Linked DNA regions of Tribolium castaneum. The protein of the gene in region 1 purifies or fractionates together with the protein of each later gene. This does not show direct contact. Links are inferred from orthologs where the notes say so. Each region holds a gene or a part of one and is shown in the gene's direction. Other genes may lie near its edges.

Evidence for each region.
Region 2: the proteins of REG (region 1) and PSME3-interacting protein purify together in Homo sapiens (affinity purification with mass spectrometry; 4 studies listed by BioGRID and IntAct, counting the BioPlex papers as one, with this or other methods). This does not show direct contact. The link is inferred for Tribolium castaneum from reciprocal best matches to the Homo sapiens genes PSME3 and PSME3IP1.
Region 3: the proteins of REG (region 1) and proteasome subunit beta type-7 purify together in Homo sapiens (co-immunoprecipitation; 4 studies listed by BioGRID and IntAct, with this or other methods). This does not show direct contact. The link is inferred for Tribolium castaneum from reciprocal best matches to the Homo sapiens genes PSME3 and PSMB7.
Region 4: the proteins of REG (region 1) and Fs(2)Ket purify together in Homo sapiens (affinity purification with mass spectrometry; 3 studies listed by BioGRID and IntAct, with this or other methods). This does not show direct contact. The link is inferred for Tribolium castaneum from reciprocal best matches to the Homo sapiens genes PSME3 and KPNB1.

What each region holds. Positions count from the first base shown.
Region 1 is NC_087395.1:26,221,488-26,228,914, forward strand, and holds REG (proteasome activator complex subunit 3), read left to right. Parts: upstream 1-3,329; 5' UTR 3,330-3,407; coding exon 3,408-3,467; intron 3,468-3,513; coding exon 3,514-3,864; intron 3,865-4,239; coding exon 4,240-4,602; 3' UTR 4,603-4,629; downstream 4,630-7,427. Other genes in the region: coiled-coil domain-containing protein 34, read right to left, coding at 1,979-2,040, 2,087-2,816. UniProt on the Homo sapiens protein: Subunit of the 11S REG-gamma (also called PA28-gamma) proteasome regulator, a doughnut-shaped homoheptamer which associates with the proteasome. 11S REG-gamma activates the trypsin-like catalytic subunit of the proteasome but inhibits the chymotrypsin-like and postglutamyl-preferring (PGPH) subunits.
Region 2 is NC_087396.1:21,466,492-21,473,658, reverse strand, and holds PSME3-interacting protein, read left to right. Parts: upstream 1-2,694; 5' UTR 2,695-2,785; coding exon 2,786-2,882; intron 2,883-2,954; coding exon 2,955-3,053; intron 3,054-3,349; coding exon 3,350-3,840; 3' UTR 3,841-3,968; downstream 3,969-7,167. Other genes in the region: VGAT (vesicular inhibitory amino acid transporter), read right to left, coding at 66-883, 997-1,363, 1,560-1,919; orexin receptor type 2, read right to left, coding at 5,844-5,984. UniProt on the Homo sapiens protein: Promotes the association of the proteasome activator complex subunit PSME3 with the 20S proteasome and regulates its activity.
Region 3 is NC_087398.1:8,314,908-8,322,187, reverse strand, and holds proteasome subunit beta type-7, read left to right. Parts: upstream 1-3,976; 5' UTR 3,977-4,077; coding exon 4,078-4,136; intron 4,137-4,221; coding exon 4,222-4,401; intron 4,402-4,452; coding exon 4,453-5,041; 3' UTR 5,042-5,104; downstream 5,105-7,280. Other genes in the region: uncharacterized protein LOC659493, read left to right, coding at 1,013-1,522, 2,197-2,356, 3,387-3,469; rt (protein O-mannosyltransferase 1), read right to left, coding at 5,158-5,646, 6,072-6,289, 6,340-6,669, 6,777-6,997, 7,043-7,280. UniProt on the Homo sapiens protein: Component of the 20S core proteasome complex involved in the proteolytic degradation of most intracellular proteins. This complex plays numerous essential roles within the cell by associating with different regulatory particles.
Region 4 is NC_087398.1:2,427,792-2,436,068, reverse strand, and holds the start of Fs(2)Ket (importin subunit beta-1), read left to right. Parts: upstream 1-2,593; 5' UTR 2,594-2,930; coding exon 2,931-2,985; intron 2,986-3,343; coding exon 3,344-3,585; intron 3,586-3,638; coding exon 3,639-4,282; intron 4,283-4,778; coding exon 4,779-5,722; intron 5,723-5,856; coding exon 5,857-6,634; intron 6,635-6,862; coding exon of another isoform or gene 6,863-6,863; exon of another isoform or gene 6,864-8,277.

The sequences.
Region 1 (7,427 bases):
CTATGGTGGGGCTCAAAAAAATGGTCATCCTGTATATAAGCCAATTTAGAAATTTAGGAAAAACAGCGATTACATTTTAAACACATTTATTTCCAGTTAAAAAACTTTTAAAATTGTGGGTTAGGGAAGTTTCCTAAGATCGGCTCTCCAATTTATTATTATTGAGGGACACGTCAGATTCATAGATTTATTGAAAAAAAAATAGGTCTGATTTAAATAAATTATGATAAAATAAGGAGTTTCATTCATCAACTAAAAGGAGCTTTTAGGACTTGATGCAGGGTTTAGGTAAATAAGCTGTCAATTATCCTGAACGTGTGCGATAACATCTAAGGGAAAACTTTAGCTCTAACTAATTAAACTAAATCACAATATGCGCACCCTCCTGACATAACAGTGCTAATTAGTTCGTGGTTGCATGTCCAAATTAGGGGTGGGTTTAATTAGCTAATTCGTGGTGAAATAAAAAAGTTTGATGGGTGAAACCAAATTTTGGGGCAATTATTGTGGGCCACTTATTGTTGTAAAAAGTGAGTACAATACCAGTCTAGTGATTGGGTCCACGTCTGTCGGCACTGGTCAACTAACCCCTCAAAATTACATGTTTCCGAGCCGATCAATTTCAATAAATCATGTAAAAAGTGTGGTCGCGCATCGGCCTTTCCGAAGCCACTGAAGAGTGTTTATTCGAGCGGTGCAAGCGCTTTTGCTGAAGACGTTCCACCCCTATTTAGCTATTCTTTTTTCACAATAGGTGACCGCATTAGCCTCGCCTTATTGATATGTTTGTTGGAGGCGCAAAATATTGACAAGGACGCATTTCTAGCGTTTGAATCGACTCCGGAATACATTTATTACGCGCATACAGGTTTCTGCTAAAGGAAATTTAATGATATGGCTTGTATGGTAATGAGGCCGGACGTGCTTTTCGTGGTCATGCATTGCCAAGCCAAAGCTCTAAATTCTCGATGTTTTTTCGTTACGCAAAACTTGAAAACATGGAACTTTTATCAAGACAAGCAATTGTCTTCGTACACATCTGTTGTCAGGTGTTGTTGCTAACAACAAATCAAGAGCGGTCACGAATATTTTACCGAACCATTAAGTGTAATACGCGTTTATTTATTATTTTAGATTGCTTTGTCCATATTGATTGTCTGGCGAAAATTCGATTAAGTTTTTGCCGCGAAATTAGGCTTTTGTGTTGCAATTTTTTCACTTATTCTTCTTTGAAACCAATCAAGGCGGACAAATATTTCGGAACATCATCTTTGTTGCTTTAATAGACAGATAAGCCATAAGTCTTTGTAGAAATGTTGAAAATTATTAGATTTTTTTAAATTTAAAAAGAAAAGCTTCGATATTTTCTTTAGTATTTCTAGATTTTCTGGACCGAAACGTAATTATTTCGTTAGTTGTTGTAAAATTAAGCAAAAAACTTGCTAAATTTGAAGAAAATGACCTATATTCTGTAGAGGATTTTGTCAGAAATAGCACAAAACAATCACAATCATCAAACTGAGTAAAAACTTGCATCATCTTTGCTTTTTTTGAGCTTTAAGGTACGTTTTTGAACTTAATAACTATTCCATTTTAAAATTTTTAAATCATGCTTTTGGCAGTTGAAAAAACACTAAAGTGCTTTCAAATTTTTAAAAAATGTGGGTACACAAGTTTTTTTGTGTATTTTTTGTTTTTTTTTGAGCTTTCAACCACATTTTTTTTGAACTTGGGAACGCGGAATTAGCAAGAAAATCATATAATTGGCCCAAAACGTAATTACTCTGTTAGTTGTTTTAAAATTAAGTCAAAAAGTTACTGAATTTTAGGACGAAAATAACATAAATTGGGCTTTTTTCGAGGGTTTTAACATGTTTTTAGTCAGATTTTGAGAGAAATGAGTCAAAAAATCACCAAAATGAGTAGGAAACTTTTGTCTTTGAAAGAAAAACTACGCTGTGAGAAGTTTTATTTTATTCTAAGTGATGGGATTCCAAGGATTTGGGTTGATATAAGTGACCGAGGTTGACGAACAAAGGGCTGAAAAAAATCATTAAAACGTGCCCTAAACCTGGAAGTAAATTACATTCAAGTCCTTTATTCAAAGGGATTGGTTTTTGCCGATGTTTGGAATTTTTCAGCCACTCATTGAACGCTTTTTCATTGTCCTTCAACTGTGTTTCTTTGCGTTCCAGCTCGTTGATCAAATCCATTTGTTTCTTAATTTTCTTTTCCAAATTCTCTTCTTCCTTCTTTTTTAACCAGAGCTGAAAATTGAGCTGATTTTCCAACTGGCGTTTCTCCTTCTCCAACTCTTTTAACTGCTTTTCTTCCTCTTCTTTCTCTTTCTTGCGTTTCGCCTCCTCCTCCAATTTTTTTTTATTCATCAACCATTTCCTAAAGTTATCTCTCTCTTGCTCGAGCAATTTTTCCTTTTCCTTCTCTTTTACTTTCGCTTCATCGACGATTTTCTGCTTCTGAACTTTCTTCCTCGTCTCGTCTTCTTTCTTGATCAATTTTTTGATTTCGACTTTGGAATTTTGCGACACTTTGGTCTTACTTTCGGGCAGTTTGAGCACTTTTCTTGATTCTTTCAAAATAGGAGGACAATCGGCATGAAAAGGACACGTCTTCTGGTCTACAGAACAAGTGCAACGTTTGGTCTTTACTTCCGGAAAATCCTCAAGCGAGGATTTTCCCGCAATCGAAGTGTTTTCACTTGACACATTCGCCGAAAGCGGCTTTTCCACGTAAATAGCCGAGTTTATGAATTTTCGTACGACATGAGTGGAAACTCTTCGATTGTCTTCTGACATTTTCAATCAAAAAACAAAGACAGGGGCGTCAAACAATTCAAACTCGAAATTTTCGCGCATTTCGCGTTCAGTGACTTTGGTGAATCAACGAGCGCGTCCTGGCGTTAGCCCTTTTTTTTGCATGCGGACTGTTTTTACGTTTTATTTTTTTTAACAATTAACCAGATAAACCAAAACTTATAGAATTGTTTCATATTTTTTTTTGGCAACTCGAGGCCAATTTGGTCGCTAGTTTTATTGCCAACCTAAATCGCAAATCGCGAAATCACGCTGTAAATATTTGTTGTATAGAAATTCCAGATCAGTGGGATCAAATTTTAGCAATCTGGCACAAGTTGTTGCATGATTCAATTAGTTGTTGATTTGGTGGATTGGGGATCGCGTCCTGGTGCTAGGCCCAATTCTCGTCCTTTCTTTTGCCATTGCCCCAAACATTTAGGTTAAGTCAACTCAAGTGAACAGTTCAAAAGTTAGTTCTAATTGTATATTATGGCAGATGCAAAAAAGGTGAGTGGGAAAAAAGGCGCGTGCCGATTCAGCTCCGCACGATTTCGTGACAGTTTTGTCAAAAACTGGTCAAAATTTGAAGTGATGCCCTCTTCGAGCTCCATTTCCGTGGAGGGCTGGGACGAGGAGTCGGCCTACCACGAGGTCTCGATAGCCCCCTTGTGTGTGGTTGATAGTTGCGTTTTCGCAGGTGTTGGAATACAAAGACAGTCTGAAGAAAGAGGCCGAAGAGTTGCTGCTTAAGGGGTTCCCCGCGACGATTGTGAAGCTCAACGCTTTGCTAGAAACGCCCCAGTTCAAAAATCGGAAATTCACTGACGTGCACCAGGAGCTGAACATCCCGGTGCCAGACCCCATTTTGCTCAACAGCCACACGGACCTGCCTCCAGCCAAGAAGGCCAAGTATGACAATAGCATATCGCAAGACGGCACCAAGGTCATGATCCTGCCCACGGGGGCTGTGCCCACTAACAAGCATCTGGTCGAGTTGGTCGAGGCTGTGAAGCCCCACATCCGCAAACTGGTTGAAGACTCCAATACTGTAAGTTGGCATGGTAACCATGCCAAAATTTGAATGATCTAGTCTCACAAGTATTCCACAGCCTACTCAATGCACATTCCTGTGAACAATCGGAACTTATAAAATGTTCTTAACTGCCTTTAATTGTTTAAATGACAAGCAAATACATCATAAAAAATTTAGATAATACAATTAAATTTGTGAACACGGATAATTTTCAGAAAAAACAATATTTCTGAGCCTTTTCGGAGTTACATACGTAATTTAGTGTTTGACGTATTTTAAAAGCGGCACTTGTTTTTTGTATTTTATTTTATATTCTAAAAGAAATGATGCTCTTATGTTAAAGTATTTTCGTTGCGAGACGAGGGACGAGTGTTGTGAATTTTTTTGCAGATGAAAATGTGGATTTCTTTTATGATTCCGAAAATCGAAGACGGCAACAACTTCGGGGTGTCGATCCAGGAGGACACTCTGGCCGAGGTGCAGTCGGTGGAATCGGAGGCGGCGGCGTTTTTCGATCAAATCTCGCGATATTTCATTTCTCGAGCCAAGGTCATCTCGAAAGTGGCGAAATACCCGCACATAGAGGACTACCGAAGGGCCGTGCAGGAGCTGGATGAGAAGGAGTACTTGAGTTTGTGGTTGGTCATGTGCGAGATCCGAAATCGGTATTGTGCCCTTCACGACATAGTTATTAAAAACCTCGACAAAATCAAGAAGCCACGTTCCACTAATGCTACTGAATCTTTGTACTAAAACAGATAAATAAATGCATCTTTCGAATTTTGATTTTTGTAAAGTGTGTACGTGACAATGAGTATTATACAATATTTTCGTAATAAAGTTATTGTGAGTTTTTTTATCTGTAAGGGAACTTGTAGTGACACTTAGCAGTGAGTAGCTGTTGGGGTTATTTTTTATTTAAAATAATACATTTCATAAATAAATTATAAAACGACTTTTTATTCCAAATGCTACACTAGTACATACTTTTCGTAACTGAGTTTTCTAACGGTAGGTATTAGAGTGAATACGAACAAATAGAATCGTTATGAGATGATTTTTTGTTTGTTGCTTGCTCTAAGTCTTCCACTTTCCGAGAAAAAAACACAATATAATAATTCCGAAGTTATTGCTCATTAATGATCCGGATACCCAGAATCGACCAAGATCTCGACAAAAATTGAAAAAATCAAACTCCAAAAAACCGAACATACCTATGCAAAATGATCCGGGGAATCGATTGGAATCAAAAAAAGCGCTAAATTCCCAATAGTTTTTTAGTTATGAATTTTTGAGTATATGATCTAATTTTCGCTTTTATTTGAATTTTCTCGAAAACTATAAGTCGGACAACAATAATCTTTTTTGCAAATGATAGATCATTAAAAGGGCTTTCCAACGATACTACACTTCATAGGGTTATCTCGAATAGTTTCAGAGCTATTGCTCGAGAAATGTTCCGGGTACCCAAAATTGACAAAAACTGCGACGAAAATTGAAAAAATCAAACATCAAAAAATCGAACATGTGGACTTTTTGTGGACTTTTAACAACTTTTATGGGTTGTTAAGACATGTAGAAGTCCATAAAAATCTACTGAAGTGAGTTTAAAAAAAAATTTTTTTTCACCTCTTTGAAGGTAAGGAAATTTGAGCAAAAAAATTGAAAATTTTAAATTGCGTGAAAAATTAGTATAATAGAGAAAAAAAGCCGCTGAATCCAATGGAACAAACCGCACTGCTCTACGACTTTTAGTTTTCGAGTTATGAATTTTTTTAATGAATAAAATTTTTCACTATGACAAATAGCTACCCTAAATTTAGGCAAAAAATTTTAAATTTTTAATTCTTGTGAAAAATCGATATAATATGTAAAATGAGCCGTAGAATTCAATAGAACAAACCGCAATGCTCTACGACTTTTAGTTTTTTTTTTATGAATTTTTTTAGTGAAAAACTTTGATCGCCTCTGTAGCCGGAACCGTCGCCCGGAGCGGCTCCGGGTTTGGTCGAAAAAATAGACAAAATTAAGCGCTATCAGATGGTTTTTTGTTCGTTGCTCTAAGTCTTACAGTTTCCGAGAAAAACGCAAAAAAAGGTTTCCATTTTCACTTTTTTTCAATTTTCAATCGCCAATTACGGCGAAACTATTAAAGATATCGAGAAACGGAAAAATGGAGGATAACCGGAATAAAAAACTCTACAAAATGGCATAGGACTCAAGGCGATATCTCGCAAAAAAATTTTCAATTTTCAAACGCCGATTACGGCCAAACTAAAAGAGCTAGGAGAAAACTCTTTTTTAGATCGGAAAGAGCACATCAAAATCTATAAGATAGAATCGGTTTTATTTGATTTTGAGACACTTTAAAAATTGACCGATTTCTAAGGGGGGGGTGTTAATTTTTTTTTAATTTTTTTTATTTTCTCATTTACGGCTAAACTATTCTAAAAAGTGGAACCATTTTGATTCATACCTATACAAAATGATCCGGGGAATCGATTGGAATCAAAAAAAGCGCTAAATTCCCAATAGTTTTTTAGTTATGAATTTTTGAGTATATGATCTAATTTTCGCTTTTATTTGAATTTTCTCGAAAACTATAAGTCGGACAACCATAATCTTTTTTGCAAATGATAGATCATTAAAAGGGCTTTCCAACGATACTACACTTCATAAGGTTATCTCGAATAGTTTCGGAGCTATTGCTCGAGAAATGTTCCGGGTACCAAAAATTGACAAAAACTGCGACGAAAATTGAAAAAATCAAACATCAAAAAATCGAACATATGGACTTTTTGTGGACTTTTAACAACTTTTATGGGTTGTTAAGACATGTAGAAGTCCATAAAAATCTACTGGAGTGAGTTTAAAAAAAAATTTTTTTTTTCACCTCTTTGAAGGTAAGTGTATTACTCAGGAAATTTGAGCAAAAAAATTGAAAATTTTAAATTGCGTGAAAAATTAGTATAATAGAGAAAGAAAGCCGCTGAATCCAATGAAACAAACCGCACTGCTCTACGACTTTTAGTTTTCGAGTTATGAATTTTTTTAATGAATAAAATTTTTCACTATGACAAATAGCTACCCTAAATTTAGGCAAAAAATTTTAAATTTTTAATTCTTGTGAAAAATCGATATAATATGTAAAATGAGCCGTAGAATTCAATAGAACAAACCGCAATGCTCTACGACTTTTAGTTTTTTTTTTATGAATTTTTTTAGTGAAAAACTTTGATCGCCTCTGTAGCCGGAACCGTTGCCCGGAGCGGCTCCGGGTTTGGTCGAAAAGATAGACAAAATTAAGCGCTATCAGATGGTTTTTTGTTCGTTGCTCTAAGTCTTACAGTTTCCGAGAAAAACGCAAAAAAAGGTTTCCAATTTCACTTTTTTTCAATTTTCAATCGCCAATTACGGCGAAACTATTAAAGATATCGAGAAACGGAAAAATGGAGGATAACCGGAATAAAAAACTCTACAAAATGGCATAGGACTCAAGGCGATATCTCGCAAAAAAATTTTCAATTTTCAAACGCCGATTACGGCCAAACTAAAAGAGCTAGGAGAAAACTCTTTTT
Region 2 (7,167 bases), on another chromosome or scaffold:
ACTAAAAGCGTACGAATTGACAATAGCAGTTGGTAACCATGTCCGTATTTACTGAAGGTGGGTTTTTAAAAGGGAAGCCCGATCTGGAAGGCGTTAATTAGGGCCCTCCCCGAGTCGTAAATCCCGACAAACCCGAAAAGCATACCGAGGGAAATGATAAAATAATCAAAAGCCACCGTCCTTGAATCCATCCCTTCCCTTTTCAATTTCAAATGGAAATAACACGGCCAAATGAAACTAAGCATCGTCCCCGTAAAACTCCCAATAAACCCCATCAAAATGGCAAAATGCGGGATAAAGCAGGCCATGAGGATGGTAAAAACCACAACCCCCACCCTGCACGCCAGCCCCCATACCTTCAGCTCGCCATCAAGGGCCCAGATGGTGGGGAAGGGCGTTTTGGGTTTTCCCCGGAAAAAGGCGCGCTCGAGCAGCTCGCAGGCGGCGTAGTAGGGCAAAGGGTAGCTGAGGAGGGCCTTGATGACCAGGCAGATGTTCACCAGGCCCTTGAAACCGGCCGAGGGGAGGTTGTTGGTGATGACCTGTTGGGTGTCGTTCTGGAAAGTGAGGAAGCAGAGGTAGCCGAAGAGGGCTTTGAAGACGGCGGCCCACACGTGGGACCAATCCAGCATCCACTGGAACTTGGAGGGGTCCTCCATGTTGCCTTCAAGGGTCGGGAGGAAGATCTGGGAGGTGTAGGAGAAGACGATCACGCCGAGGCTTATGGGGAAGTTCTCCAGGTCGAGCGACCACTTGACTTTGCCCCAGCCCCAGTCGCCGATGTAGAGGAGGCAGTAGCCGAGGATGATGGCGTTGATGAGGATGTGGGACATCGTGCACCAGAACGAGAGCAGACTCACGCTCTGGAGGGTCTTGAGGAACGCTGAAAGATTTGATCTTTTATTTTCAAAGCTTCAACCGAACGAACTGAAATTTTGCACACATACGTAATCTCGTAAAAGTGCAACAATACTTAATCTAAAGGTAAAATGTTACCTAAAGGGAGGAGGAAAATCCCGACTAGCATCATCCACGATCGGGTGTCTATAGCCCCATCTGGGAAGGTGCCGATCATCAGGTCGCCACAGACCACCACGTACAAGATGCAAGTCATCAGGAGTTCGATAATTTGGGCTATATTTACAATCCGAGCGCCGTATTTTTTGCCAAAGCAAGCTTTAGCGATTGAAACGTAAGAGTCTCGGACTCGGACTTGGCGTCCTGTTTGGACGTCAAATTCGTAGAGACATTCCACCAGGATTTTGCCAGTGTAACAGCAAATGTAGGCGATGCCCACCATGGCAACGATGGCCCAGTAGCCCCCTCGGAGGACCGCAAATGGCAGCGACACGATAAACATGCCCTAGGAGAAAAAACTTTTTAAAAAATTATTCAATCGTAAACTTAAAAAAGTGGTCGAAAGTTTTATCAATAAATGAATTTTTTATTTCTCTTGTGGCATTTTTTTTATAAATCTAGAGCATCCTTCATTGAAAAACTTACTACATAAGTACTTAAAAACTGACATTAAAAAAAAAATTAAAATCTTGATGGGGCACCTGTATGGCGTTGGTGACGTTCCAGGCGGCCTGATACTCGCTGATCTTCACATCAGACTTCCCCTCGACAAAGTCGGAGCCTTCGGAGAAGTCGACCGAGGACATGCGGGTCTTGAGGTCCTCGTTGAAGCTGTCCTCGGCCTCGAAGTTCTCCTGGAGGAAGGGGTTGGTGGTCTGCTTAATGTTGGTCATCTCGTGGTGCTCGTCGGTGGTGCCCCCATGTGTGGTGTGGTTGACTTGTGCAAAGTGGACGCGCTCGTGTCCGGGGGCCCGCTCGGGGATCATCTGGCGGAAGGTCTGTCCGGCCACGTTGACGGCGGCGGAGAGAGGCGGCAAGCGGATGTTGCCCAGACGGTTCATTGTGTGATGGCACTGAGCACCGCCAAGATGGAACAAACGCTAATTTTTTACTTTAAGTGTGCGAAAAGTGCAGGTTAGACCATTTTGGGGGCGATTTGGAAGGTGGTGATTTCCATCTTGGCGGCGGTTGACCGGAGGAGATGTGGTACATTGGCAGACTCCGGGTACACTCCGGGGTGCGCAGGCACGGACTCAGTTCGCTGTTTCAGTCAGAACATTGTAAAATTATAATTCGAAATTTTTTGTGTTCCTCTTTTCCAGTTCTGTTGCTTTTTATTACCTAATTTTATTACTTAATGGCTGGCTTAAAACTTAAAGTTTTTAACTTTCTAAAAATCCGGTCTTCATGTAAATTTATCGGTGTAATAAGAAAACAGTAGTAATTTTTATACAGTATTGAAGAAGAAATTAAAAAAAAAAAAATTTACCAATTATGGAATTTTCCGAAATTTTGGAATTCATTTCCAATATTTTTGAATTATAATATTAATACTTCGCTAAAAACCCTTATTCCTCCCCTGCATTCACCCCAATTTCAGCCTTTCCCCCGACTGTACCGTAAAATGATCAATAAGTTACTGAAAACTGAAATTTTAGAGACTTTGCATTTTCAGTAATTGAGCCAAAACGTCTCAAACCCGCCAAAATCCGACTTATTTCCCTAAATTTCCTTCCTCCATCCTTTGAACTACTTAAATCCCCCGAATCCTCATAAAATAGTCAGGATTTTAGGCAAATGAGACCGCAAAATTTGCACAGAGCGCCAAATCTGGTAACTTAAATTTTATCCCCAGTGTCAAACCTGTCACAACCCTTAGAATGTTTTTATTGAATTTTTGAGCGCTTTTCGTCAATAAATCGCAAAAATGAGCTCTGGGTTCATATCCGAGGCCGAATTGGCCGAAGCCAGGCAAAAAAGACAGGAGGAGTGGGAGCGGGTCCGCAAACCCGACGATCCAATCGGTGAGCTGACCTAACCCCACTTTTGTACAAATTTGAGCGAAATTAATCGAATTTTCGGTGTTTGGGGCGCAGTGCGGCCTGAGGAGCCCTACGACCACCGCAGTTTGTACGAGCGGCTGCAGGAACAGAAGCAGAAGAAGGACCTGGAGTATGAGGAAGCGCACAAATTGAGTAAGTCCCGCCACTTAACCGTGACATTCGTTTAAAAGATATAAAATTTATGAGTCATTCATTACGTAAGCTAACCTAATAATTGCGGTCAAAAATCCGTGTTTCAGTTCGGGTTTTACACTTGTTTATTTATAGTTTGTGTTGTTTTGCGTGAGTTTTGACAGACGATTTTGACAAAAAGTTGCTGAAAAAATGTTGCAGCAGAATTATTATTATGACCAGAGTGAAGGTAAACCCTACTGTTCCACTTTTCTGGAACTTTCTTTACCAAAAAAATGCGCATTTTTCCGTTGCAGAAAATATGATAAAGGGTCTCGATGATGACGAAATCGAGTTTCTTGACCTTGTTGATAGAACTAAGATCGCAGCTGATCGTAAAAAAGAGCTAGAGGAAGAGATCGAATTGAACGATTATCGGAACAGAGTTGCCACCTTGCAGGAAAAGTCACTAGAAGAGCGCCTTCAGGCCGAAATTGCTGTGAATAAGCCCAAGGCCCCCACGAGTAAAACCTCGCAACAGAAGTTGCTCAAGGGGGTTGTGGTCAAAAAGAGGAAAAATAGTGAGGCGAAGGAGGAGAAAGACGAAGCGAAACATAGGAAAATTGAGGATGAAAAGACAGAAGTTGTGGCTGATTCGGCCTTGAAATGTGTGGGGATCTTGCCAGGGTTGGGGTGTTACAACGAATCGACTTCGGATGAGAACAGTTCGGATTCCGAAGTGGAGACAACTAGCGCGAAAATTGATATTCTGGGGAGGAAAATAACGAAGAAAGAGAAGGAAACGTGAATTGGTTATTCAGTGAGATTTGTGGAAGAATCGGAGGGTTCTTATCTGAGTTAATTGTCTGAATTAATTGTAAATAGAGTGTACCTATTATTGATTCCTGTGTTTTTCTAATAAATCGGTAAAAAAGGTGTTTTTTATTGTTGGAGAAACTCTTAAGGGAATAAAACCATTTAGAGTAAATTTTTTGTTTTATTAATTATTACCCTTTTTCCTTGAAACAAAAAACTGCTTCACATCAAAAATGGGCCACAACAACCATTGGAGGTTGGTACCACTGGTAAGTTCTATTTTTTGTTACCAATCCAAAAAAATAGGTTATTGCTATTGTAAAAAGTGGGGAATTCGTAAATACCAACTCAAAAATTGCGGGTTCGTTTCCTCGTCTGGCCCAACTTTTTTTTATATATCAAAAAATATTAAATTTAACAAACCTTTTTTGAAAAATTTCGTCAAACTTTCTGAAAAATTAAGAAATCGATTTCTTCTAATTTAGACCATTTTTATGTTAAAGTAAAACACGCCATATATTATAGATTTAAAATTGAATTTATTTTGATTGCCTTTCTTGAGGACCGAAAGAGTAAACAATTGAGACGAAAATCGTGTTATTTTGACCTTTTTCAAGGCTTTCAGGAACGTTTTGAAATAATATTTTGTTAAAACAGATCGAAAAATCAACAAATTCTGTTGGTAGTTAACTAATTACATTACTATGATTGCCTTTTTTCGAACCATTAGCTCGTTATTTAGCCAGAAACAATTGTTTTGCGATTTTTTTATTGTTTTTATATTTTTCAAACAAAAAAAAACAAATTAACTCAATTAATTAAGAAATTAACTCAACAAGCCTAAAAATTGTACTAAATTTGCATTTTTAATTATTCAAGTACGTTAATAATGATGTAAAAAGTAAGTAAGTGAGTTTTCTGTTGTTAAAGTCTTTCTGTTGATTTTTAGTTATTACATTTTTTTAATTATTCTCGATCAATTTGACATCATCTACAAATGGGCCAAAGAACTGATATATCGTTCAATAATTTGAATTTTATTCAATAACGTTTTGTATTTTTTTAATATAATTTCAAAGTCACCGAGGTCTTTGTGATGCGCCAAAGCACTAGTTTATTTATAAAGAAAAAATGAGTTTCTCGCAATTTCGTGTCACAACTGTGGTAAGAAACATCTGGAGACTTAAACCCACTAACATTTCAATTTTCCCAACTCCCAAAACTCCAGTTGCCACAATATAACCAACGTAATGATATTATCTGCCATTAGGGTCGCAAACCCAACTCCGGTCGGAAACGATAAGCACAAACATCTTTGCATTTGTATCATTTAATTGCGTTATTTTTTTGTCAACCACTCAAAAAACGCTTTGTTTCATTGGGTTAATTAGTCGTCGGTATTTCTATTCTGTTTCTCTAATCGGATTGTGCAGTGAAATGAAGGAAAAAAACTTGGATTCGTGTTGTGTAGTTCCGGAAATAAAACAAGTCGGAATAAAAAAACATATTTATTAAGTAATAGTAATAACAGAAATACATTAAGAAAATCACAGACATGAACATCGAACAGAGAGTAGCAAGAATGGTGATGATGAGAGGCCAGAGGCCGAGTTGGAAATGCAAAGCGTATCTTGCTTATCTACAGGGTGGGGCATAAAGCAGCCCTGGACGATACCCACTTCCTTATTGCAAATTCTAGTGCAAAAAATTAAATCACTTATCCAAAACACCCCGTATGACAAAAACAAATAGTTTAGTGATTTTTGTTAAGAAAGTCGGTATTTTCGGACGCCGCACAAATGACTCACCCTGTATAACATTAAACATTTTTACACAAAAGTCTTAAAACTACAGCTAGGCCGGTATAAAAATACGTGATATGGTCGACGAATCGAAAAACCTGACTGTTTGAGCCCAAATTTTTCGATTTTTCTGAAACAAAACGGGCTTATGTACAGGGTGTCCCACACAAGTATTGAACCAGGGCTTGGGTGTTCAAACCACGCACGTCTTGGTCGTTTTCTGGCTTGACTGCAGGCGTCCGAGCGTGAAATGAAGCTGATTATGCACAGTTGGCACTGATTTAATCCTGTGTAAGTAATGGAGTTGTGTGCCCGAGCCGGAACTGTCGCCCCACTGTAAAAAATTATGTTTGTTTTAATTCCGAGTTAATTGTTTCGTTCGGGGTGAATTCGTTTACTTTAGCTCGGCGGAGTGGAAGTTTCGGAATTAAAATATTGCAGTTTTATTCCATTTTCATAATGTTTTATTGTGTAATCGGGCTGGGGGCGGTGTTACACGGCCACCTGTTGCATTATTTAAGGCGCGCAAAAATGGAATTGTGTTATGGAAAAGTTTGGGTGGTAACAATGTTGAAAGTAGTGCACAAGTTTGATGGGTTTAAAGTTCGGTCTGGTGGGAATTTGGGATAGTGTGTGGGTGGGTGTACGGAAGGAAAAATTGAAACTGTGCGCTTCCTAATTTAAATCAGAAACTCGTTATCTTTTATGTCACTTCGTGTCGGTGGTTTCTCATTATGAAGTCCCCTGGGATTTGTCAAGGCTTAAAGGAATAAACGAGGGACATATTTAGAAATGTTTATTGGAGATCTGTTCAAAGTTACACAAATTATTACGATCAGCGAAAAATTCTTTGCTCTTCGATTAGATCAACTTTTTTTAATAATATAAATAAACTTAGAAGAGAATGTTCTAATTACTTCAGAAAAATCATTTTGGGATTTAAAACTCAACAATGAAGCTTCTCTCCTCCCTTACCTTTTTATTATGATGCATCTAAAAAATCCTGATGCGAGTTTTTTTTATATTATCATTATTAAATTTCTTATAAAAATATAGATAAACAAGGAACATATTTGAATTAATGAAATTTTTGAATGAAAGGATTTTTCCAAGATTATTAGTTTGGTGTTAGCAACAATTTTATTAATTTTTTTGCTCAAAACATCGTTTAAGCATCGTTGTTTTAAAATAACACTAAAATTTCAACTATTTTTTCTTAAATTTTTTTTGGTCTAAATCACTTAATTAACTTTAATTATAAGGAAAGATAGAAAAACTCCGAAAAAAATCATAGGAATCAAAATATTTAATACAGTTTTTTGTGCAACTATTAGTTCTTGAGATATGGTAAAAAATACTTTTAGAAGACTAACCCTGTATTTTTTATATAAAAACTTAGAATAAGTTGAATTCAGTTATAAATGCAAAATCAATTCAGGAAGGAATATCGTCTTATTAACGATAAGGAAATAATCCGAAATCACAGTCCAAAAAGTTCAGGTTCAATCCCTGACCCG
Region 3 (7,280 bases), on another chromosome or scaffold:
CAAACTATTAACAATAAACAATAATTAAAGCAAGATCATTTTATTGAAAGACGTCATAGTGATATGTGCATGACTTACTTATGATTCAGTATTTTCCTTAAACCAATCACAATGCACAATACATATCAAACCGATTAGTTACCTACCACATAAAGCACCAATTTTTGATATTAATTTCAACAATTAATTCTTTTGTTTGGCGTTTGATATTAAACAACTAACAAGTAAACAAATTTATATCAGACACAGGTATTCCCGCAGCGAGTGCTGCGACATCCTTTTTTTTATTTTTAAAATAATATTTTTGTTGTCACGTTGGAGGGCTGCAAATATTAACAGATACTTTTTTTTATTAATAAAGGGTTCAATTTTTGATACCCATTACCTCGAAAGCGTAAATGTGGCATTAAAACCAGGAAAATAAAATTAACTTTGTAGAACCAAACAAATCTATAAATACTTAGATTGCAGTAATAGTACGCCAAACATAAAATTACCATTTGTCAAACAAATGAAAACATCCAAGTCATTTTCCAAGGCCGTTTAAGGCAGTCTTAAAATAGGACTAGATTGAACCTTTTAATTTTTGCTGCAATGTTAGAAAAATAACTGTTTATTTTTAATCATCAACCAACACTTAAAGTCGATTCAGAAAAGCGCAAAGGAACACTTGTTCGATAGCATAATCAACAAGGTTGAGTCATAAAAAATGTAATTATTTAAACAGCAATAAAAGTCTCACAATACCACGATTAATATTTACAATTATACGCAAATGCAGTTTGAAGATTTAGATTTGTTAGCGTCTGCTTGTTAATGAATTTTCCGATGCATACATAATTGGCGTAATTTTTTGTTCCTTAGCACATTGCGTAATAATACTCGTTTAAAAACAACACCTAAATTACACCGAGTCTTATTATTGCTCAGACAATTGTACGATTAGTTTAATTTTTATTTGATATTTATTTATTATATTGTTTGTAAATAATATTCCTGTTTAATTTTCCAGCTAACTGTGGAAGAGTATGTCCAGGCCATGGAGCTCTTAGTCAATGACTACCGATTCACACTATACAACGTGTGTTACAAGCGCGTGCTCGTCGTTTGGATCATCCTTGCATTTTCCGTACTATTCGGTTTATTATTCTCGGGTTTATCTGGTCTTACACTCTTCGGGTTAGGTATCGGTTGGTTAGTTTTAAACGCGGCTGCAATTTTCTTCTCAATGTGGATAAAGTATAAACTATCCCGCAACTTGGAACGATGTCTGGCTCATGTGAATAAACAGTTACTCAGACACAAAATTGTGATAGCACTCGACGATAGAGGAAAAATTTCGTGTCACAAAGTCAATCTTTGCTTCCTGTACATGGACTCAGCTCCGTGCATAGCACACTTGCAAACGAGCATCGATCAACAGGAGAGAGATCCGGCGAATGGATGGGAGCAGAGGATGGACATCACAGCCCATGACATTGTTATTCAAGGAAGTCGAACGACGAGGCTATCCAGGAAACAGGTGGGTGATGGGTTAATAGAGTGTGACTGAAATTTGGCCGCATAATTAACATCTCATTTGAAAATTTCCGGACGAATTAGCTCTTAACTGTCTTCTTTGCACAAACCACGTATCTACTAACAGTTTCGTAGCAGTAGAGGTGCAGATTGGAGTGGTGTGATAAATAATCCCAGTTTTGCAAAAACAAGAGTGCAATCATATCTAGCCACTGCCCATTTCTGGCCTCTATTGTGGTTGCCAACTCAGGCTCTATAGAAGTGTTTTCTTGCGATTTAGGACCGGGCTGAGCAGTTGTTCTTGCGCTATTTGCAAAGGTGGGGAAAAGATTTTCTCAGGAGACGTTTAGATTGGACCGTGGACGAAATGTTGGGGAATCCGTCCAATCCTCTCCACATAAATTCGTCGCTTTGCCCTTGCCAGTACGTCGAGGAGATACTGGCAAATAAACCGCCGAGATCTGACAGAGATTGCTGTCCGATTTGGTCGCGATTTTTGGCCAGACGGGGCATCGATTAAGTAATTTTACGAATCTTATGCACTTTTGTTTTTGTTATTGTACTTTTTTAACACACGGGTTTTTCATTTGGAGGGTTGAGGAAAATTAACACTGCCAAATTCGAATATCACACAAACATTCCAGTTGTTAAACCGTTACCGGAAATGTTTCTTTTCAGGAGAGGGCGACATTGTTATATTTGCGATATGCATCTCGTTGGGGGCGTAATGTAGTGCGTGGATTATTAGTAAGTCCACCGGCCTCAGGGGGCCGGCATTGTCCTTCACTTACATGTCCCTGTCAATTTATTGAAGAGCATCTGCACTGTAAACCGTCAGGCAAGTTAACAGTCAAGTCATTTTTTAGCATCCCTGACCAACCCTATGACAGCAAATGTTGTATTCAATGACCAGCTTTTCAATTGAGGACTGCATTTGATACAACTTTGTACAAAATATTTTATTTTAACACCGAAACATCATTACTTACAGAGGGCATTATAATCTTCCTTCGATTACTTTACTTCTCTCTTTAATATTAGTGGCTCAATAACTGTGGGTGGGGTCCTACTTAACCATTTCTCCATTTGTTGAAACTTACTAATTACCCTGAGGCTGGTATTTTCGGTTTAGTTTCAAAAATGTGTAATTATGCGCTTTTATTGATTTGCCATTCAAAATCTAGTGGAGGTGGGGAACAAAATCATTCATCTCAAAGAAAAAGTAATGATTTGGTTCCTGACCCAGAAACAAACATGCACAAAAAGTCTTACTATAATGATAGAAATTTCTATTATGTACTTAAAAATCACATAAATGCTATTGTAAAGAGTTTATATTTTATATATTTACCAATATTAGAGACTGTTACATTATAGATTTTTAAAACTGTTACTTATGTACTTTATGCTAGTTTTAGAACCGCATAGAAATACATTCCGTCCAAGATGATCTGTGTTTACATATTTTTAAAAATAAAACAATCATGTTTCATATTAGACATTTTTTCTGTTTTCCTCTTATTATTATATTACACCAAGTACTAACCATTTTTCATTACAATTTAAAACAGGTAACACCAGGTAAGAATTAATTTTCATTATTGTATGAATCTAATAATGCTTTCACCGCACTTAAACAATTGTCGCTTCCGTGCTGTAGTGCGATAATGCTTATGCTTTTTTGGCTGCTAACTGTTGGTTTCATTGCATTCTCAAAAAATGTTAATCAGAAGATTGTGTAAAGCATGAACTCATCGTCACAAACGTGACAAGAATTATAATGCATTAAAGACTTAAAAAATTACTTCCCTTTAATGTTTTAAGTGTTTACTAATTATCCCCCCAATTCTTACATTTTTATTTTACAGGACCATGCTTGATTTGCTTCTACATGTCAGATCGTAATGTTCAGGCTCACACTGACGTTAATCCAATGCATTACCCCCTGTAATTCACACTTTCATAAAATCCGTATTGTTACACTGGTTTTTGGTCAAATAAGTTAAAGTATTGTACTATTATTTTATTAAAAATATAGATAACAACGCAATACTGATTATTCTCAACTCCTTAAAGCATTTGCCGACGTTTCCCTAATGGTGGCAATTTGTGAAGCAATATCTTTTTGCAATGCCTCCATTTCATGTTTTAAATTGTTGAGTATGTTAGAACTTTTTTCCAAGTCCTGCGTACCTTTTAGGAACTCCTCGATTCTCTCAAACTTGGTCTCTCTGGGGGGCCTCTCATCCAGACACCAGTACAGCTTACTCCTCTGGTCTTCGACCCTATAAACGGCCTCGATGTCATCAATTACCTGCTGCCGGGTCATGGAGAATTTATTTCTTTGTGGAACTGTGCTACTTCTAAACATTTTTATGATTTTAAGTAGAACAAAACAACGTGCCCCCTTATCACGTGACTTACGTCATTTTGTGCCATGTGACATGCCAACACCATTTTTGGTGCTGTTTTCACCGACATCCAAGTGACAGCTAAAATCCCTAGAATTAAAATTTACGAATCATTTTGCCGACTTGTCTCCCATAAACAAAGCGTAAAATGTCGGTTTTGTGCCCCGAAATTGCGCCCCCAGGTTTTTCATTCGCCAACTGCAAGCGGTAAGTTTACAAAAACGTAATAGTTCCGCTTGTTTGTGAAATTGTGACCCGTGTTTTGCCTTGTCATCAACATAACCTCTTCCAGAAATGCTACCCTCGAAAGTAAAGGCTTTCCGGTGCCCAAAGCCACCAAAACCGGGACCACAATTGTGGGAATCACTTACAAAGACGGGGTGATTCTGGGGGCTGACACCCGAGCCACAGAAGACACCACCGTGTCGGATAAAAACTGCGAAAAAATCCACTACCTCGCCTCCAATATGTAGTAAGTGTTGTTAACTCGACCACCGACGAGGGTTAAATTAATTAAACGTAGTTGTTGCGGGGCTGGGACTGCGGCCGACACGGAACAAACCACCCAAATGATTTCCTCGCAACTCGAGCTGCACCGTTTGTTCACCAATCGAACCCCCCGAGTGGCCACCGCCAACCAAATGCTTAAACAGTACCTCTTCCGCTATCAGGGGTACATTGGCGCAGCCCTAGTTCTTGGGGGAGTGGACGTCACTGGGCCCCACTTGTATTCAATTTACCCGCACGGTTCCACAGATAAACTGCCGTACACTACCATGGGATCAGGCTCTCTTGCCGCAATGGCAGTGTTTGAGTCGCGCTGGAAGCCCGATTTGGACGAAGAGGAAGGGGTCAAGTTGGTACGGGATGCTATCGCCGCTGGTATTTTCAACGATTTGGGGTCGGGGTCTAACGTGGACGTGTGCATAATTCGGAAGGGGTCTGTTGATTATCGCCGCACTTACGACGAGGCCAACAAAAAGGGGGTCCGCCAGTCGTCCTACCAGTACCCCAAAGGGACCACTGCGGTTTTAAAAAGTAAAGTAATCAAGGTTGATGTGGTTGACGTTGCCGTTCATCCCATTGAGGCCGAACAGATGGACACGGCTTAAATCAATTAAATGTTTTTCACATAAATACATTTATTCAGTTCATAATAAAATATATAAAAATGATTAATTTGTTCAATATCAATATGAGTATCAAATTTGCTGTCATGGAACAATTGCTAATTTTTATGAACTATGAAGTCCCAAGTGTCTTTCCATCTCAGATCAATAATGTCATTTGTAGTTAACGGGGTTGTACCATAACACAATACTATAAATTTCATAAAAACGTAAAATATGCAACAAATCCATAAAAATATGAGTAATATAAAAATATACTTTATGACCCTAATTTTAAAAATATCACTAATTGTTGAATAAACGTGTTCAAGCAGGGCCGCTAATAGCAGCGTTTTGAACGTAAATGCGGGCAAATAGTGGTGTAGAAAGAGCGTCCGCTCCACGAAAAAATACGGTAGATAATGGAACAAATAGCCTGTAAAAAATAACTCTCCAATCAACTGAAATTGTTCCCATTTTTTCGTATCAAGGTCGTAACACTGTCTCCGTCGACGAAGAAGATAGAAGACAAGTAGAGTTGAGTAGGTGGCAAGGCCGGCACTTCCGGAATACCAGAGCAAGAGATTTCCAATTAGATGTATTTGCGCCTGTAATTAATCGTTATTACAAGCCAAGTGCTAAAGTCATTAATATTGGTTAGTAATAATAATAATAATAGTGTTCAGTGATTGGAATTATTTACTAGAATTATTCATAAAATTACTAATAGAGCAATTTCCATGGCCTGAAGTACAAAAATTTTCCGGACATCGCGTACAATAACTGGTAACTTTGAAATTAATAAAAACAATTTGTTGTATTTAATTATCATATACTACACCTTTTGAGTGATAAAATTACGGAAATACTAATGTAATAATGATAATGAATATAAAAATGAAAAAAAATCTGAAAGAAATAGTACTGCTGATTACAAATTATAAATTTGTAATGACGAACTTCCCGACGGTATATTAAAATATTGATTGCGAATAAAAATTATCATTTTTTAATTATCTTTACGTTGACTTACGTTGCTCGTCGATGAGACCCAATAGGCGATCCCCCTGGCCATCAACGGCCATTCCAGAGGCTCCGAACTATACATATGATTTTGCACACTTTCGGTGCCTGAAAACAGCATTTTGTAATGCAATTCGAAGAATTTTTCCCAGAATGTTAGCGAAGTTGCAGCTGTTGGGATCATTTCGGCGGTAACGAGTTCGCGTTCGCGTTCTTTTTGATCGTCGGCTATTAATCAAACAATTAATTTGGTTTACTGAGAGTTGAGGTAAAATTACATTTAGTGTATCGGTGCTCCTCGACGTTCCACACCGTGTCGTCTTGATTGATAATCCGGTCAGCGGCAACTTCATGCTGATGGAAGCCCCAATCTGGGAGTTGTCGTCCGGTGAATTTAAGAGCTGTGTTCGTATCAACGTGTATCAGTCTTATCAGTGATTGTATTGTGTGCCAGCTGTCCCCGTTTTGATCCCGGTTTAAAATTTCCACCCTCCAGAGGTTTTGCGCGGGCATTGAGACGTTGTAGTCGATGTAACAGGACACTTCCTGGCATTGGGGGGACACGGGCGCTGCCACGTCGTGGGAGTTTAAGGCACGGCTTGTTATACCTGCAAAGGTGCCTCAAGTTGAAAAATACTTCCCACATTAAATAAAAACGCAGTGAAAAACAGCTTTTATTTAAAATAAGAAACAAAAATTTGAAAGTGGTTCTCACCATGTACTAGCTGGATAACATCTCCATGTTTGATTGCATCTATGGGTTGTTCAACCACAAGATCGTTTTTATTTGGCCTCTTCACAATCCACCAGTTATTAACATCCTTGAATGAATAACAAGTGACTTGCTGTTGATGACTAGAACCTCTTTTGTCGGGATATCTGATTGGATAAACGTGATTGTGGGAATGTAACCAGCACGTCCTCCCATGAGTGTGCCTACAAATTCAGTTAGTAAAATAATGACCACTTAAAAAAAACTACCTTAGAGTAATCTGCGACCCATGTGCCACCAAGAGGGGCTGTCCCTTGGTGATGGAAGCCAAGCCACCCTCCAAGGAGGCTTGAAACGCACTGGTCATAATACTATCATGTGGTCCCGCTTTGTACAATACTTTCAAATGAATGTAAAAAACAGCCAAGTAGATTAAAAATGAAACTGAAGCGGCAACGGCCGTTTGGGCCACAAACCGCACCAAAAGGGCCCTATCTGTGAGGGTGG
Region 4 (8,277 bases), on another chromosome or scaffold:
GTGATTAGTATTTATGATTCATTTCTTGTACTATTAAAAGTTAATATGGCAGCCGATATAAAATTTGATTTATTTTAGACAAAGACACCGGACTGTCATCATCAATGTCGGCGATTTGTATTTGTATCTAATAAGCGATAGCGAAATGGAATTAAATGCACCTATTAAATATTTCTGCGTCAGAGTGGCAAATTTATGGCCCATTTTATCAGCATTCTGGGCGAAAAGTAACGCAGATAATGAGCAAAACATGTCCTTTCCCCGACGTGGTGTGAGGTCTCGGAGCGCAAAGTGAGAATTAATCGAAAAAATCTTTCCAGGAATTGTCTGAGAAATTCTGATACTTTTGCACAAGCTGAGCAATATTTTACAACCTCCTGTGCATAAATCTCGTTACTGTCGCTGTATTTTTACTAGAACAACGTCTTATTTACATCTCCGTTCTCACTTATGCTCATTTTTGAATGCCGATGGAGATGAATTGGTTTATTGTATACAGTATCAGACTGAATATAAGCACGACAAAAGACCTGCGGATTAAATTATTGCAACAGCTCGCTTTTCTTGCACTTATAAATCACAATATGAAACTTTGTTTATCCAACGTGATGTAATTCTTCACCTTCGTGGAATACTGACCTATTGAAGTATCCGTTCCGGATAGAGGGTGACAATAATTGCGAGTGTATGTGCTTACGATACTTGCAAATTCCTCCTATAAATCAATGCGAATGAAGGAGATTTTGCCAAAGGTTACCCTGCAAATTAGGCGATTCAGGCATGACCGCACACTGTAATAACGCCTGCCTTAAGCATGTTACAGGTTCACGAAGACATGAAACGCAAAGTGATGCTAAATAATAATAATAATAATGATAAAAAAGGAAAAAGTTTAAACAAATATTAAAAAAAAACAGATAAAAGTTGAGAATATAATGTAGTTATCTTAGTTAGAAATACTTAGTTCGAAATAAAATTATAGAGCAAAACACAAAAACTATTTTGGTCCATGTCTTAGATTTAAGACCATCATCTCCTAAGGTTTGAAATAAAAAAATATGTGCGTAGATGCACCTGTAAGGTAGCTCGTGGACATTGCCACACCAGGAAGTGCAGTCCGAAGAATCATGTCCTTCCGGCAAACGAAGAAAGCTAAAAATTGGTAACCATCTTGGCAATTACGCTATCAGGGTCGTGTTAAAAAGCCACGGTCAGTAATAAATTCCACAATTATTTCAATATGCTTTCTCGGGCGTTGGTAATGCATAAGAGCGTCATTACAATAAATACAGAGTACTTGTATAATACTCCGGGGAATATCAACAAATTGCAAATACGAACCTATACCCACTGCAAGCACGCCAACAATTTTATTTATGTTGCAATTATATTGCAATTTAGCTCGTTTTTTGAAAATTCGTCGTTTACGAAATACCCATAAAAATCCTTTATTGTGTACGACTGTCCTCATAAGTTGTTTGTTTGTCCAAAGAAAAACTTTATACTCTTATTTATTGGATATTAAAGGCGAATGTTATGACTTTTAAATTGGTTTTATTAAGGCAATTAAAGGTGGTGGACACTGTAAAACCCATATTTACGAAGTTACTTACACTCAAGCCACATATTTCTACAGATTTTATTAATGACCACAATTAATTACTCCCTAAAGCCTTCACCTTTTCTTCGATCAGGTGGTTTCTTTTTTAATGGAAATGCATGTGTCTACGCAACATGTTAAATATAAATTCACAGTATGCAAGATACCATCAGGTTTGTGCAGCTAAGTGCGTTCAAAATAACACAAAGTGCTCGCAAAACACCCAAGAAACAATGCATTACACTCTGCTCTAAACTTGTTTTGCTCACCAGGAAGAAAGTACTCGACTTTACCTAATTTTAAAATAAACCCACTTTTAACATCCCTATAGCAATAAATGAAACATCTTAATAATAATAGTAATAACAATAATAATAATAATAATAATAATAATAATAATAATAATAATAATAATAATAATAATAATAATAATAATAATAATAATAATAATAATAATAATAATAATAATAATAATAATAATAATAATAATAATAATAATAATAATAATAATAATAATAATAATAATAATAATAATAATAATAATAATAATTTGAATTGAATTTTTTTTATGACTAAAATGAATAGTAATCAAACGTTGAGCAGGAGAAGTAATTTAGGTCAAAAAAAAATGAGAAAATAATTATTTATATTGTTATTTTAGTCAATTAAATATTGATAGGCGTGGCCAATTATGTTTAAAATGAATCCTATTTTTATACAGAATCGTTAAAGGGATATATACAGTCAAAAGTCTGAAAAATAGTTCATTAAATTGTTTTTCAAGTTATATTTACAATTGGTTTATCATAAAAACCGTCAGCTGCAGTAAAATGGGACTAAAAACAATGTAATATCCTATATTATATTTTTGAATAAGCACTATAAAGTTGGCTTAGAAACATAAATGGTTGCGACATCTATCAAAAAAAGCAGTAATCATTGTAAACTGTACAGAAACCTATTAAGAAAATGCGCGCAAAGCAAATCGGTTTAACGGTCATCTTGTCTCCGCACTGAAATACAGTATAAGTGTTTATTATCGTTAGTGACAAATCACAAGTTAATTTACAACGTAAAGTGCTTCAAGTAAATTGTTACAACTGTGTGAACCGCTGTTTGATATAATTTGGGTAAACAACGATTGAAATTGGCCGTAGTTTTGAAATAACGATAAGGAACCGTCATTCATACGTTAGCAGCAGCGTATGAATATAGCCTTCCTGCCAGTTTAATCATCCTACATGTCCATGTGGTGTTAGCCGGCTGATTGCAAGAACCAATTAATTAAAACCGTTAAGTTTACAATATTAGTCAGTAATTCTACAATAAAATGCATCAAGAAACACTCCGACTTATACAAGTGCTAGAAAAAACTGTTTCTCCCGGTAAGTACAAAACTTGACTATTTGACAAGTTGCCATCATTTTTTAACCACTGCCATATAATCGCATGCCTAATCATCAAAAAGCACGTTCCTCTCAACCCCGCCTCATTTCCGCCTTTTCGATAAATTTCAACCCGCTTTGACATTTTACGAAATTCCCAAGCAACTCCCCGTCAGGGCTTAAACCAAAAACCTGACGATGTCGCCGCACCGGCGTCGAAACGTCGGTCGCTCTTTTTCCCAAAATGCAACTCTTTTCAAGCCCTCAAGCTCGCAAAGTTTCATCATAACCTCACACTTTTCGAGGTCATTATCCTCAGTGATTTTCCGTTAATCACAGCCTATTTGACGATTTCCAGATAAAAATGAACTGGAGCAAGCATCAACATTTCTTGAGCAAGCTGCCGCCGCTAATATCTTAGAATTTATCAAGACTCTATCCGATATCTTGCGACATGGGGGCAACAGTCCCGTTGCTCGCATGGCCGCCGGTCTCCAACTGAAAAACCAACTCACGTCCAAAGATCCCAACATCAAACAGTTATGTCAACAGAGATGGCTGTCGGCACCGGAGGAGATACGCAACTACGTCAAGAAAAACGTAATTGTTTATATACCGGTTTTGTTAGTGTTTTTTTCGACCGTTTTCTCCAGGTCGTAGGGGCCCTGGGCACGGAGACCAACCGGCCTTCGTCAGCGGCCCAATGCGTGGCTTACATCGCTGTCACCGAATTACCGCACCACCAATGGCCCGACCTGATCGTCACGCTAGTGAACAACGTAGTCCAACCAAACTCCACCGAAATGCAGAAAGAAGCAACGCTGGAGACCATCGGCTACATCTGCCAGGAAATCGACTCAGACGTGCTCGTTACCCAATCCAACGACATCCTCACGGCGATCATCCACGGAATGCGCTCCACAGAGCCCAGCAATCATGTCAGATTTGCGGCAACGCAGGCGTTGTTAAATTCGCTCGAATTCACTAAAGCTAACTTCGAAAAGGCAACTGAAAGGAATTTCATCATGGAGGTGGTGTGCGAAGCCACTCAGTCGCCAGATACGCAAATTAAAGTTGCAGCGTTGCAATGTTTGGTTAAAATTATGTCTTTGTATTATCAATATATGGAGCCCTACATGGGCCAAGCTCTCTTTCCCATTACTTTAGAAGCGATGAAATCTGACAATGATGCCGTGGCGCTTCAAGGTATTGAATTTTGGTCGAATGTTAGCGACGAAGAAGTGGATTTGTCCATCGAAGCCAATGAGGCAGCGGATGCAGGCCGGCCCCCAGCCAGGTAAGAGCATCATTTCTGGAATGACTATTAGTAAAAACTGTAATTCCCTGTTTATGCGTTTAAGTGAAATCCAGTCTGTGAGCGATATGATAAATTCGTAACTTAATCAGCTAATCGTTAAATATCATTAGATAACTAAGTTTTTCTGTTTTTACTTCGGTCAGAGAATTCCCACAATAAATGTTAACAAGAATAAATAATCTTTTTACGGCTTTTGCCATGCTATTAAAAGAATCAGATTAGTAGTAGTTTCATAAACCTAGTCAGATTTTTATAAACACAAATTAAACTAACGATGCTTTTGTGTTGCTAACTTTAGTTTGGTATTTTTATGATCGATAAAAGCCTTGTTTTGATTTGATTTTCACAATTTGCGTTTGAAACATCAAAAAATAGATAAGTGTTAAGTCAACAAGCCTATTATTAGAACGGAGATTATTCATTGTCCTGTTACGCTGACTCAACCGTCAGTCAGTTAAGCGAATATTTCTTCCAGAGTATCACGCCACTACGCCAAAGGTGCGCTCCAATTTATCGTACCCATCCTTCTGCAAAAACTAACGAAGCAAGAAGAGCTCGATGACGAAGACGACTGGAACCCGAGCAAAGCTGCCGGCGTTTGTTTAATGCTTTTGGCCACATGCTGCGAAAACGAAGTTGTTCCACACGTTTTACCTTTTATCAAAGAAAACATAAAGTCTGAGAATTGGCGATTTAGAGATGCGTCGCTTATGGCTTTCGGCTCGATTCTTGGCGGGTTAGATAACACCACTCTTAAACCATTGGTGGAGCAAGCCATGCCAACCTTGATAGAGCTGATGTATGATAGTAGCGTTATCGTGAGAGATACTGCGGCTTGGACTTTCGGCCGAATTTGCGAAATTATTCCCGAAGCGGCCATTAACGAGAATTATCTTAAGCCCTTGCTGGAAAGTTTGATTAATGGACTTAAGGCTGAACCGCGAGTTGCGGCGAATGTCTGTTGGGCGTTTTCTGGATTGGCTGAAGCCGCCTACGATGCAGCTGAAACTAACGAAGACACGGGAACTCCCGATACGTACATGTTGTCACAATACTTTGAGTATATAATTCAGCGGCTTTTGGAGACTACGGACCGTCCAGACGGCGCTCAAGCTAATCTCAGACCGGCAGCCTACGAGGCTTTGATGGAAATGGTGAAGAATTCACCGAAAGATTGCTACGTCACCGTACAAAAGACAACAATGGTGATTCTTGAACGTTTGCAACAAGTTTTACAAATGGAAACACACATTACGAGCCACAATGATAGGTCACAGTTTAATGATCTCCAGTCGTTGTTGTGCGGAACACTTCAGTCGGTTTTGAGGAAAGTTACACCAGAGGACGCGCCGCAAATATCCGACGCCATCATGACTGCTATGCTGACCATGTTCAACTCGAATTCGTGCAAAAGTGGAGGTAATTCACCAGCCAAATGCGCCTTCAAATAAAATCTTTCGCTTACACTTTACAGTGAATTGTATTAAAGATTTTAGTTTGAAGGCGTATTATAAAAAATTATAAGTACGGGAATTAAACGTTGTTTGTGTTAGGTGTACAAGAGGACGCACTGATGGCAGTGTCAACCCTGGTGGAAGTCCTCGGTGAAGGTTTCATCAAATACATGGACGCGTTCAAGCCGTTTCTTTACATCGGCCTTAAAAACCACCAAGAGTACCAAGTTTGTGGTACCGCAGTCGGTCTAACCGGTGACATTTTCCGCGCTCTCAAACTAAAAGCTCTTCCTTATTGCGACGAAATCATGACTCTTCTGCTCGAAAATCTCGGCGATCAATCGGTCCACCGTAGCGTCAAGCCACAGATTCTTTCAGTGTTCGGCGATATCGTCCTAAGTATCGGCCCCGAATTCAAAAAATACCTCGATGTTGTTCTCACAACACTAGCGCAGGCGTCGCAGGCACAAGTCGATAGAGATGATTTCGATATGGTCGATTATTTGAACGAATTACGCGAAGGTGTACTTGATGCTTACACGGGCATTGTACAGGGTTTAAAAGGCGATGGCCCGACACCTAATCCCGACGTTTTGATTCTCGAACCGCACATTCCTTTCATCGTTCAATTTATAACCGTGGTGGCACAAGACACGTTCAATTCTGATGCCACGGTTGCGGTGGCTGCCGGATTGGTGGGGGATCTCTGTACGGCTTTTGGAGCACCACTTTTACAACTCCTGGATTTGGAGCCGATCAACGAGATGTTGGCGAAAGGCAGACGAAGTGGAACTAATCGTACTAGAACTTTGGCCACTTGGGCTACGAAGGAGTTGCGCAAGTTGAAGGCTAATTCGACGGCCGCTGTAGCTAGTTGGTAAGTGGGAGTGGACAGTTTCAGCAGATCCAATTGGCAAAAAATCGTTACAAATAATATAAAACAGACATTATTAAAATTATAGCTGGGATTTTTTTAAAATTAAAATAAAGTTAGTTGTGGTGGGTCGGTTGGATCTGCTGCGTTTGAGACTTGGCGTTGGACTGTATGTGTCTCGCGAAAATCGGTGTGCTGAGCGAAGTTTGACAGTGCTTTCGATGGTTTCAGATTTTCTTTGGCATGTTGTGGTTTAACAGAAGGAAATCTAACGAAGGTGTGGTCAACGGCATCGATATTGGATTCGCATTATACATAAAACCAAAATTCTTGCAGACTTTAGTTTTCGTTTTGGCTGAGTCGGACCAGTTTTGCTCATCTCTCGGTTGAGTAAAGCTGGTCAGCTAGTTTGACATGGTATTGTTCCCCAATACTTTCGGTTTTCGGGGTGCAGAGTGAGTGCTGATGCATATGGACTCTTGATAAACTGTGAGTGCTAATCGTAGCTGTGAACGCTTGTGAATAGTGTCTGAATCTTCGCCTGGTTTCGTGAAAGGCGGTTTAGCTCAAGACTGAAGAGTGAAGTGGTGTCTCCTCTATCACTTGTTGCGTCTTTTACGTTCGTCTTCACTTTAGTGTTGTACTTGATTACAATAAAAGCATTTGTCTATTTCACATATCGAATTAATCATAAGTAGTTATTTTTATAATGGTCTTTGGTGAAGAAATTACCTATGCACTGCAGTCAGACAGAAGTAATCTTAAAATCCTGATTTATTATTGCTTCTTTGTTTCGCTGAAGTTGTGTGTAATTTCATTGCGGAAAAAAGCAAAACACGCTCTGGTGCTTCTTTAGATTTTGCGAATTTATATTAACTTTTCTCTTAAAAAGCAAAAGACTGCGATAATCAAAAACTGTCCAGAGGAGCGTGTTTCGGTTTTTCCCTGGTTGATTTTTTTGAAACAATTTCCAATTCACTGAATTCATACTCAGGAAATTTGAGAATAATAAATCTTGTGACTGGTATTTTTTATGAAAGATTTTTGTGAGGCCTGATTGTGCCTTGCGTGGGTGGTGTATGAAAATTTTCGAGTTTTTCGTATAAGTCGACACGCTGATTAAATATACGAAAGTGCTTGAAAGGGAGGGTGGGTATCGCAACAAAGTAAAAAAGAATCTGTGATTTGAGAAGGTTTCTGTAGTTGCCAAAACACGAAAAAGATACATTCAAATTCCATTAGTTTTTTAAATGCGTATAACGAAACCTTCTCAATGTTTTCGTAATTATAATTCTAGAATTATAATTATAAATTCCTTGTATGTGTGATATTTTTCCGTGGGCAATATTGAAATAAACCAATTTTTGTGTTTATTTTTATCACTAGTCCATTAAGCGACCTTCGTTGTTTTGGAAGGTACATTAGCGATGGGTTATTTTAACTATTGCCCACGTCTGGGTTCAAAGGCTGTATGAAATCACTTGTATAGTATGTAAGTAGTGTGGTTGTATATTTTGTATGTACGAAGTATGAAGAATTTTATTATGAAGTAGTGTAAGAATTTCTACTGGCCTAAATTATTTATTGAAGCTTCTAACTGTTTTATGCACACCGAGATATTTAATTTTAAAAAGCTCATTTTTATG